Saccharomyces cerevisiae S288C: one gene and its partner. The protein of the gene in region 1 purifies or fractionates together with the protein of each later gene. This does not show direct contact. Each region holds a gene or a part of one and is shown in the gene's direction. Other genes may lie near its edges.

The links.
Region 2: the proteins of KRE33 (region 1) and ENP2 purify together in Saccharomyces cerevisiae (affinity purification with mass spectrometry, with the first as the bait; 4 studies listed by BioGRID). This does not show direct contact.

What each region holds. Positions count from the first base shown.
Region 1 is NC_001146.8:372,555-378,991, forward strand, and holds KRE33 (ribosome biosynthesis protein KRE33), read left to right. Parts: upstream 1-2,766; coding exon 2,767-5,937; downstream 5,938-6,437. Other genes in the region: YNL134C (uncharacterized protein), read right to left, coding at 1-1,027; FYV6 (Fyv6p), read right to left, coding at 1,617-2,138; TOM22 (Tom22p), read left to right, coding at 6,213-6,437. UniProt on the Saccharomyces cerevisiae protein: RNA cytidine acetyltransferase with specificity toward both 18S rRNA and tRNAs. Catalyzes the formation of N(4)-acetylcytidine (ac4C) at positions 1280 and 1773 in 18S rRNA.
Region 2 is NC_001139.9:779,309-784,390, forward strand, and holds ENP2 (ribosome biosynthesis protein ENP2), read left to right. Parts: upstream 1-2,458; coding exon 2,459-4,582; downstream 4,583-5,082. Other genes in the region: THI4 (thiamine thiazole synthase), read left to right, coding at 1,091-2,071; ECL1 (Ecl1p), read right to left, coding at 4,915-5,082. UniProt on the Saccharomyces cerevisiae protein: May be involved in rRNA-processing and ribosome biosynthesis.

The sequences.
Region 1 (6,437 bases):
GGATGTGGTGGATTTCACCATCATTGATTTTTGGATTGATGAACTTAATAAATTTTATGGCGGCTTCCTTGTATTCAGGGTCTGCTGGCAAAGTAAACGTGCCAAATGGGACGTCGTTACCTCCTATCAAATATAGAAGGGTTCCTTCAATACTGACGTTTTGCCTCCTGTCTTCCTCCTTGATATCTTTTTCGGTTAAAACGGTCAATTGAACGACCGTAGCGTCTAAGTCATCAGCGGCACATTTGTACACCTGTTGAATAGTTTCTGTGTTGGAGACACAGTCCACCAAGTAAGGAATGTTGTTGTACTTCTTTTTTATCTGTTCGATAACGTCAGCATCGTGGTAGTCAAAAAGTTCATCTGCACCGTACTCTTTCAACAATTTTTCATGTTTACGAGAAGCAACGACGATGATCTTGCTGAAACCGTTTAGTTTTTTTGCCAATTGAATAAGCATCTGGCCAACAGCAGTGGCACCACCCCAAAATAAGATGGGTTGATCTCTTTGCGCTTTGGAGGGCTTCCATGTCATGTCCAAGCCAAAACTATGTGTAAGGATCATACCAGCCGTGGTCAATGAGACTGGGAGGGATACTGCCCCTTCTAAAGATTTTACGGGGCCTTCTGGTAGCTTGTCTTTACCGCACAATCTAAACTCTCTGGCTGGTTTATAAGCAGTCTCGGATGAAATGGCAGAGTACTCAGCAAAGGCACCGTTTGAGGGGAACCTCACTGAAGCACCGTGAATAACCCCATAAATGTAATCACCAATGGCAAAGCGTGCAGCATCAACATTTGGGCCCAACTTTACGATTTGGCCGGCTGCATCACAGCCTAAGAGGGCACCTTGAGGACCAATCTTGAAATCAATATGTTTCCAATCGGTAGGGTTACCGGCAACGGCGACAGTCTTAATTAGAACAAATCCTTCTTCTAATTCAGGAATTGGAATGTCCTGTTTGACTACAGCCTTGCCATTTTCAATGACAACGGCTTTCATGGTTTCTGGAATCGAGGCGGACATGCTTGATATGCAGTATGATATTGCTTTTTGCTGTGTATAGTTAACGATTTTTTTTCAACTAGAATTACAGTACTAATCAAGAAGTGAGAGGAAGAAAACGGCAAAAAAAAAACTCTCTCCTTTTAAATCGAAGCATTGCCGAAATACCTTAAAAACGGTCTTAAATCCTTAACATCTGTCCTTACTAATCGATGCCAATCCAACGGAGGGAGCCCATATGCTAGGTACTAAGAGTACGCAGGGGCGGAACCGCGCGACAACCGTAAGCGGATCCGAGGAACTTTAGTCAGCAGGGGCTGTGATGACCATTAAAAAATTGCGGACACAGGTAGTGGAACGAGCAATCAATGTGATCAATTTGCCATTTCATTCCACGAAATGGTTTCCATTCTAAGCATGAATGCTTTGACGTTACGGGTGTTGGTTATTTCGGTTCTTTTTATTGCTTCCGTGGGCACGTACGAGAAGGGAAGATGAATAGAAAAAGAGTTTCCGAGTTTTGTATGTCCAATGTTTACATAATTTATATAACTTGAAGTTTAATCTTGGCATAAAGCTCTAGTTGTGACGAAGTGTGTAGGCCATCACATCAGTTCTCCAGTTTTCTACCCAATTTTTTTATGGATACCTTGATTTTTGGTTTAGGGCTGGATGTCTTTACGCCCTTTATTTGTGTTTTACTGCCCAAACTAGTGCCGGTCTCTAAATATTTTTCTGTATTAGTAGTAGAATCGTTCTCCATTAGTAATGCTTTTTTTTTCTTTTCAAAATTGATTGCCTTGACGTCTAAGTAGTTATTCAGTTCTTTTTCCTTTTTTAGCAACTCATTCTTGCTCTTCTGGTAAAATTCCAGGTCCTCTTTACTCAACCTAGTAAAACTTTCACGGTCTCTCACCAAACCGTTATATTGTTTTTGTTTACTAATAGCATTAGACCTAAGCTGATCTCGCAGGGACTTCCTGGTTTTCCTTTTATATTCCGCTTCATATTTTTTTTGCTCCACTTGCTCTCGTATCCTCTGGGCCTCTACATTACCAACTCCTTCTGACACGAATTTCAGTGGTTTTTTCTCTCTTGCACTATTAGCATTATTATCACTGGTAGATGACATGATGATATAACAGAGCCCACAGTCTTTTGTTGGAACCGCTTTCTCTAGGCTTCGATGGACTTACATCTAATTGCACATTCTCGTGCGTTTAAACGTCATTTTTCCCTCAGATTGGCAGTGCATCAAAAGTAATTCCTAGGGACGACAAAAAGGCGGAAAAGGTTTCAGAAAAATAAGCGGACTTAGCTCAGTTGGGAGAGCGCCAGACTGAAGAAAAACTTCGGTCAAGTCATCTGGAGGTCCTGTGTTCGATCCACAGAGTTCGCAATTTGAAAAATTTTTTTTAATGATTACGCATGTGGATGTGTTCAGTATCAACCGATGCTCGCTTTTCCAATCAAATGATACAAGCCAGACCGAACATTGCATGTTTTCCATTGTAACTTCCCAGGTATATCTGAATTAGTTGTAAAAAGTAATAGTTTACCCGGAATCGTGTGAAAAATTTTGAAAAAAAAAAATGAAGAGCCAAGATACAATGAGATGAGATGAGGTGCTGAAGATGCATGGAGATTCTGTATTTATCTCAAATAAAGTACGCAATAGAGTATATAAGCCAAGTCACCTTTTATATTTCTTAGTTTTTAACTTGCAAAGACTTATAAGAGACTTATAAAACAAGGAGAAAATGGCCAAAAAAGCTATCGATTCAAGAATCCCGTCACTGATCAGGAATGGTGTTCAAACCAAACAAAGGTCCATATTTGTCATCGTTGGGGACAGGGCACGTAACCAGCTCCCAAATTTACATTATTTGATGATGAGTGCTGACCTTAAGATGAACAAGTCCGTCTTATGGGCTTATAAGAAGAAGCTTCTAGGATTCACTTCGCACAGAAAAAAAAGAGAGAATAAAATTAAGAAAGAAATTAAAAGAGGTACAAGGGAAGTGAATGAAATGGACCCTTTTGAATCTTTTATCTCTAACCAAAATATCAGATATGTATACTACAAAGAGAGTGAGAAAATATTGGGTAATACCTATGGTATGTGTATTCTTCAGGACTTCGAGGCATTAACCCCAAATCTTTTAGCAAGAACCATTGAAACTGTAGAAGGTGGTGGTATTGTGGTTATTTTATTGAAATCAATGTCATCGTTAAAGCAACTGTACACCATGACTATGGATGTTCACGCCCGTTATCGTACTGAGGCTCATGGTGACGTTGTTGCAAGATTTAACGAAAGATTCATACTTTCTTTAGGTTCAAATCCAAACTGTTTAGTCGTTGATGATGAATTAAATGTTCTACCGCTATCTGGTGCCAAAAACGTGAAACCACTACCTCCTAAGGAAGATGACGAATTGCCTCCAAAGCAATTAGAGTTGCAAGAATTAAAAGAATCCTTAGAAGATGTCCAACCAGCTGGTTCATTGGTTTCTCTATCCAAAACTGTCAATCAAGCCCACGCTATTCTTTCTTTCATTGATGCCATTTCGGAAAAAACTTTGAATTTCACAGTTGCACTAACAGCTGGAAGAGGTAGAGGTAAGTCTGCTGCTTTAGGTATTTCTATTGCCGCGGCCGTTTCTCACGGGTATTCTAATATTTTTGTTACTTCTCCATCTCCCGAAAATTTAAAGACTCTATTTGAGTTTATTTTCAAAGGATTCGATGCCTTAGGTTACCAAGAACACATTGATTATGATATCATTCAATCTACGAACCCCGACTTCAACAAAGCCATTGTGAGAGTTGATATTAAAAGAGATCACAGACAAACGATTCAATATATTGTTCCTCAAGACCATCAAGTTCTGGGCCAAGCTGAATTAGTTGTCATTGATGAAGCTGCAGCTATTCCTTTGCCAATCGTCAAGAACTTGCTGGGCCCATATCTAGTCTTCATGGCATCCACTATCAATGGTTACGAAGGTACGGGTAGATCTTTATCTCTGAAGTTAATTCAGCAATTGCGTAATCAAAACAACACATCCGGTCGGGAAAGTACTCAAACCGCCGTTGTTTCGAGAGATAATAAGGAAAAAGACTCTCACTTACATTCTCAATCCCGTCAATTACGTGAAATTTCCTTGGACGAACCAATCAGATATGCTCCTGGTGACCCAATTGAAAAATGGTTAAACAAGCTCTTATGTTTAGATGTTACTTTAATTAAAAACCCAAGATTTGCAACAAGAGGAACTCCTCACCCATCCCAATGTAATCTATTTGTTGTCAATAGAGATACTCTATTTTCTTATCATCCTGTCTCAGAAAATTTCCTGGAAAAAATGATGGCACTGTACGTTTCATCCCATTACAAGAATTCTCCAAACGACTTACAACTGATGAGTGACGCCCCAGCGCACAAACTATTTGTTCTTTTACCACCAATTGATCCAAAGGATGGCGGCAGGATCCCTGACCCTCTATGTGTCATTCAAATTGCATTGGAAGGTGAAATCAGTAAGGAGAGTGTCAGAAATTCATTATCGAGAGGCCAAAGAGCTGGTGGTGATTTAATCCCATGGCTGATCTCTCAACAATTCCAAGACGAGGAATTCGCTAGTTTGAGTGGTGCTCGTATCGTCAGAATTGCCACTAATCCTGAATACGCATCCATGGGCTATGGTTCTCGTGCAATTGAATTACTGAGAGACTATTTCGAGGGTAAATTCACTGACATGTCTGAAGATGTTCGTCCTAAGGATTATTCTATAAAGAGGGTGAGCGATAAGGAACTGGCCAAAACTAATTTATTAAAGGATGACGTTAAATTAAGAGACGCAAAAACGTTGCCACCTCTACTATTAAAACTTTCTGAACAGCCTCCTCATTATCTACATTATTTGGGTGTTTCATATGGTTTAACGCAATCGTTGCATAAATTCTGGAAGAATAACAGCTTTGTTCCTGTTTATTTACGTCAAACCGCAAACGATTTAACTGGTGAACATACTTGTGTTATGTTGAACGTTTTGGAAGGCAGAGAATCAAACTGGCTCGTTGAATTTGCCAAAGATTTCCGTAAAAGATTTCTGTCGCTTCTTTCTTATGATTTTCATAAGTTTACTGCCGTTCAAGCCTTAAGTGTCATTGAAAGTAGTAAGAAAGCACAAGATTTGTCTGATGACGAAAAGCATGATAATAAAGAATTGACGCGGACGCATCTGGATGACATTTTTTCTCCATTTGACTTGAAAAGATTGGATAGCTACTCAAATAATTTGCTAGATTATCACGTTATCGGTGATATGATACCCATGCTTGCTCTTTTGTACTTCGGCGATAAAATGGGAGATTCAGTAAAACTATCAAGCGTCCAGAGTGCTATCCTGTTGGCTATAGGGTTACAGCGTAAAAACATCGACACTATTGCCAAGGAATTGAATTTACCTTCCAATCAAACTATTGCTATGTTTGCGAAGATCATGAGAAAAATGTCTCAGTACTTCCGTCAGCTGTTAAGCCAATCAATTGAAGAAACTCTACCAAATATCAAAGATGATGCTATTGCTGAAATGGATGGTGAAGAAATCAAAAATTACAACGCTGCAGAAGCACTGGACCAAATGGAAGAAGATTTAGAAGAAGCCGGTTCTGAAGCCGTTCAGGCGATGAGGGAAAAACAAAAAGAGCTAATCAACTCCTTGAACTTAGATAAATACGCCATAAATGATAACAGTGAGGAATGGGCTGAATCTCAAAAATCTTTAGAAATAGCTGCCAAGGCCAAAGGCGTCGTCAGTTTAAAAACTGGTAAAAAGAGAACGACTGAAAAGGCTGAAGATATCTATAGACAAGAGATGAAAGCTATGAAAAAACCAAGAAAGTCTAAAAAGGCTGCAAATTAAGCGTTCTACTCTTTGTCAAACCCTTTTATAGCTAAACGTTTACTTAATTTGTACAATAATATAGAATAGAAACATAGTTGATGTTTGAACCTTTACATATTCCTTTCAATCGTGTCGAGCGATATAAGTATTACGATTATGCCGGCGAAAACTGAACCCGTTTTAGACAATTTCAATCAACATACTCCACTCCGTAGTGAGTAACTTTTGGAGTAATACGAAGTAACCAAAGAGGTCAAAACGGAACTATATACCCCAAAATAAGCATCATTCAAATGGTCGAATTAACTGAAATTAAAGACGATGTCGTTCAATTAGACGAACCACAATTTTCCAGAAATCAGGCCATCGTGGAAGAAAAGGCTTCTGCAACAAACAACGACGTTGTCGATGATGAAGATGACTCTGATAGTGATTTTGAAGATGAATTTGATGAAAATGAAACATTGTTGGACAGAATCGTTGCTTTAAAAGACATTGTCCCCCCAGGTAAGAGACAA
Region 2 (5,082 bases), on another chromosome or scaffold:
ATATATCTACCTAATAGTATTATTATTTCTTTTCCATTTTATATGTTTCACTATCCTACTATTTCATCGATCCTCTTATTTAAGCTTTTATTAAACCTAATGACTGTTCTATAACTTTTATGTCCTCTTTTTACATCATAAATGATAATTAATATACTAGTGACATGAATACTAATCGATGGATGGTAGTTTGTTCTTATTCTATCAGGGAAATGCATCAGATAATGGATAAAATGGAAAGAATGGAAAGGAATTGTAACATGCCTATATATGGAAAACGAGCTTTTAGAGCTTTCAAGTTAACCCCGGGCGGTTAGTGTAGTGGTTATCATCCCACCCTTCCAAGGTGGGGACACGGGTTCGATTCTCGTACCGCTCAAGATTACTTTTTTAATTTTCATACTTTTTCTCCTAATATCTTGCAAATCATGACTGAATTGACATTAACTGATGCAAATGGGTGGGAAAAATGCTTATCAACCCCCTAAAAAGTCAACTTCTTCGTTAGTGATTGCTATATGTGGCGTCAAGAATTACAAGAAGCTGGCGAGCTTTCCAAGCCCCTTCAGGATTAACCGTTTTTTACCCTTTTTTTACAAATTTACGGCGGGGAATAATTCTGATACTTTCTCTTTATGAGCATTCCTCAACAGGGATCGGCACTCAATTGCTTTAGTGAATAGTTTTTTTTTACGCCAAGAACATTTACCACCCCATTTTCCTGTAGACGTCCAAAACGATACTCTACTTTAAGCCCTTTTTCTGAAGTTTTCATAAAATGTCCGATCTCCTAACGTCATTTTTAAAATCAAATGGTCTTTTAATAATTATGCACGTTAAAAAACATACATAATTGATAGTAAAGAATCTGGTATTCTATCAGTTACCAAGTTCAATCGTAAATTTTTTTACGAGCACTAATAGAAATGGATCATGAAATTGATTTTTTGATTTTCAATTTATGAACTACCCAGATATATAAATATTGGAATAAATTGTGTATTAAGTAGTCGGGAAATATCTTTTATGTTCTCTTTCTTATCATCTAGAAATAATAAATCACAACCAAAAAAATCAACTAACTATCAAAATGTCTGCTACCTCTACTGCTACTTCCACAAGTGCCTCTCAATTGCACTTAAACTCTACTCCAGTTACTCACTGCTTATCTGACATCGTTAAGAAAGAAGATTGGTCTGACTTTAAATTTGCTCCCATCCGCGAATCCACTGTCTCTCGTGCTATGACTTCTCGTTATTTCAAGGATCTTGACAAGTTTGCCGTTTCTGACGTGATTATTGTCGGTGCGGGCTCTTCAGGTTTATCCGCCGCTTACGTCATCGCCAAGAACAGACCAGACTTGAAGGTTTGTATTATCGAAAGTTCAGTTGCACCAGGTGGTGGTAGTTGGTTGGGTGGTCAATTATTTAGTGCCATGGTTATGAGAAAACCAGCTCATTTGTTCTTACAAGAGTTGGAAATCCCTTACGAAGACGAAGGTGACTATGTTGTCGTTAAGCATGCCGCTTTGTTCATCTCTACTGTCCTTTCAAAGGTCTTGCAATTACCAAATGTTAAACTGTTCAATGCTACCTGTGTTGAAGATTTGGTTACCAGACCACCTACCGAAAAGGGCGAAGTCACCGTTGCTGGTGTTGTCACCAACTGGACGTTAGTTACCCAAGCTCACGGTACTCAATGTTGCATGGACCCTAACGTAATTGAATTGGCAGGTTACAAAAATGACGGAACTCGTGACTTGAGTCAAAAGCATGGTGTCATTTTATCCACTACCGGTCATGATGGTCCATTTGGTGCTTTCTGCGCCAAGAGAATCGTCGACATTGATCAAAACCAAAAATTGGGCGGTATGAAGGGTCTGGACATGAACCATGCCGAACACGATGTCGTTATTCACTCTGGTGCATACGCCGGTGTTGACAACATGTACTTTGCTGGTATGGAAGTTGCTGAACTGGATGGATTAAACCGTATGGGTCCAACTTTTGGAGCTATGGCTTTGAGTGGTGTTCATGCTGCTGAGCAAATTTTGAAACACTTTGCTGCTTAGGCTTTTAATGAGGTATGCTTTTAAAGATTTATATATTTTTTATACACGCTATATACACAATTTTCGCTGATGATTTTGTTTTATTATTGATTTTTAAATTAACCGTAGAAAATACTAAGTGGAAAGATCCGATAGTGATGAGATAAGACTTTTAGTTATCTCTGTAATGGTGAGTTTTCGCACATCTTGCAATATTAAAAATATAAATCAATTCTTCAAATGTCACTTCATGGTCGGGTAACCAAATATGATCTTAAAAAAAATTAAGAAAAAAAAAAATTGAAAATTTTGAGCTAAGCTCATCTCATCTCATCGGCTGTAATCAGTAACACATCATTTATTACATCAGTTACAGGTATCAACATATATCTTCAAAAAGGGGACATTATGGTTTTGAAATCTACTTCCGCAAATGATGTTTCAGTATATCAGGTTTCTGGTACAAACGTTTCAAGATCACTTCCAGACTGGATTGCGAAAAAGCGCAAAAGGCAATTAAAGAATGATTTAGAATATCAAAATAGAGTAGAACTGATTCAAGATTTTGAATTTAGCGAAGCCTCCAATAAGATTAAAGTGAGTAGAGATGGGCAATATTGCATGGCTACCGGTACATACAAACCTCAGATCCATGTCTACGATTTTGCTAATTTGTCACTGAAGTTCGATAGACACACAGATGCTGAAAACGTGGATTTCACTATTCTCTCTGACGATTGGACTAAAAGTGTACATTTACAAAATGATAGAAGTATTCAATTCCAAAACAAAGGTGGTCTACATTACACCACAAGAATTCCTAAATTTGGGAGAAGTTTAGTTTACAATAAGGTAAACTGTGATTTATATGTTGGTGCGAGCGGTAATGAGTTATACAGGTTGAACTTGGAAAAGGGGAGATTTTTAAACCCATTCAAGTTGGATACTGAAGGCGTGAACCATGTTTCTATCAATGAAGTAAATGGGTTGTTAGCGGCAGGCACGGAAACAAATGTAGTGGAATTCTGGGATCCAAGGTCGCGTTCCCGTGTTTCAAAGCTATATTTAGAGAACAATATTGACAACAGACCATTCCAAGTCACCACAACCAGTTTCCGTAATGACGGGTTAACTTTTGCATGTGGTACGTCGAACGGTTATTCATACATTTATGACTTGCGTACTTCTGAACCTTCCATTATTAAAGACCAAGGTTATGGGTTTGACATTAAGAAAATTATTTGGTTGGATAACGTCGGCACGGAAAATAAAATTGTTACATGTGACAAGAGAATTGCAAAAATATGGGATAGACTAGATGGTAAGGCATACGCTTCTATGGAGCCTAGTGTTGATATTAACGACATTGAGCATGTACCAGGTACAGGTATGTTTTTCACCGCTAACGAAAGTATTCCCATGCATACATATTATATTCCAAGTTTAGGACCATCTCCACGCTGGTGCTCATTCTTGGATTCTATCACAGAAGAATTAGAAGAAAAACCAAGTGACACTGTTTACTCTAACTACAGGTTCATTACTAGAGACGACGTTAAAAAATTGAATTTAACGCACTTGGTGGGATCCAGAGTATTAAGAGCATACATGCATGGTTTCTTTATTAACACTGAACTTTACGATAAGGTTTCATTAATTGCTAATCCAGATGCCTACAAAGATGAAAGAGAAAGAGAAATTAGACGTAGAATTGAGAAAGAAAGAGAATCCAGAATCAGAAGTTCAGGGGCTGTTCAAAAACCTAAAATTAAAGTCAATAAAACATTGGTTGATAAACTATCTCAAAAACGTGGTGATAAAGTTGCAGGAAAGGTTCTTACGGATGACCGTTTCAAAGAAATGTTTGAGGATGAAGAATTTCAAGTCGATGAAGATGACTATGATTTCAAACAATTGAATCCAGTAAAATCCATCAAAGAAACCGAAGAAGGTGCTGCTAAACGTATTAGGGCGCTAACTGCTGCCGAAGAGTCCGACGAAGAAAGAATTGCAATGAAGGATGGCAGAGGTCACTATGACTACGAGGATGAAGAGTCTGATGAAGAAGAATCTGATGATGAAACGAACCAAAAGTCAAATAAGGAAGAATTAAGTGAAAAAGATTTGAGAAAGATGGAAAAGCAAAAGGCACTAATTGAACGCAGAAAGAAGGAAAAGGAGCAAAGCGAACGTTTTATGAACGAAATGAAAGCCGGCACTTCCACGAGTACGCAAAGAGACGAAAGTGCTCACGTTACATTTGGCGAACAAGTAGGCGAATTGCTTGAGGTGGAAAATGGAAAGAAATCAAATGAATCCATTTTACGTCGTAACCAACGCGGTGAAGCAGAACTTACTTTTATTCCTCAAAGAAAAAGCAAAAAAGACGGAAATTATAAATCCAGGCGTCATGATAATTCATCGGATGAAGAAGGTATTGACGAAAATGGTAATAAGAAGGACAATGGTAGGTCGAAGCCCAGATTCGAAAATAGAAGAAGAGCTAGCAAAAATGCGTTCCGTGGTATGTAGTTATATTAGAAATTGATATTTTAATTATCCTTTCACCTTAAACTAAAAATATTATATGTATGAAGACGAAGACAGCAAAAAGTATGCGTGATACAGTTTACATTATAGAATTCTTTCCCCAAATATTGAGGGTTTTGTTTTTTTTTTTTAATGCAGATGTACGTACATATTTTCTTTATCAAAAGGATGTGTAGAGAACTATGTATATATGTATATGTGTAGGTTTTTTTTTTTTAGGATGACTAGAAAAGGAAATCGAAAAAGAAAAAATAAGCATGAATCATGAGTAGGTTAAAGGCAAGTCGAAGAAGATACGAAGCAAGTGAAGCCGTTTAACTGGAGGATAGTCTAAACCATAGGTTGTAGTTATTCTCAATGATCTGATCTGAGATCAAATGATCATCAATTAGATCGTTTGATCGTGGCAAGTTGTTTTCGTAACCCAAATGTGCCTTTGAATGCAATTGGTAACTAGAATCGAGTCTAAGAGAGTCGGCTAA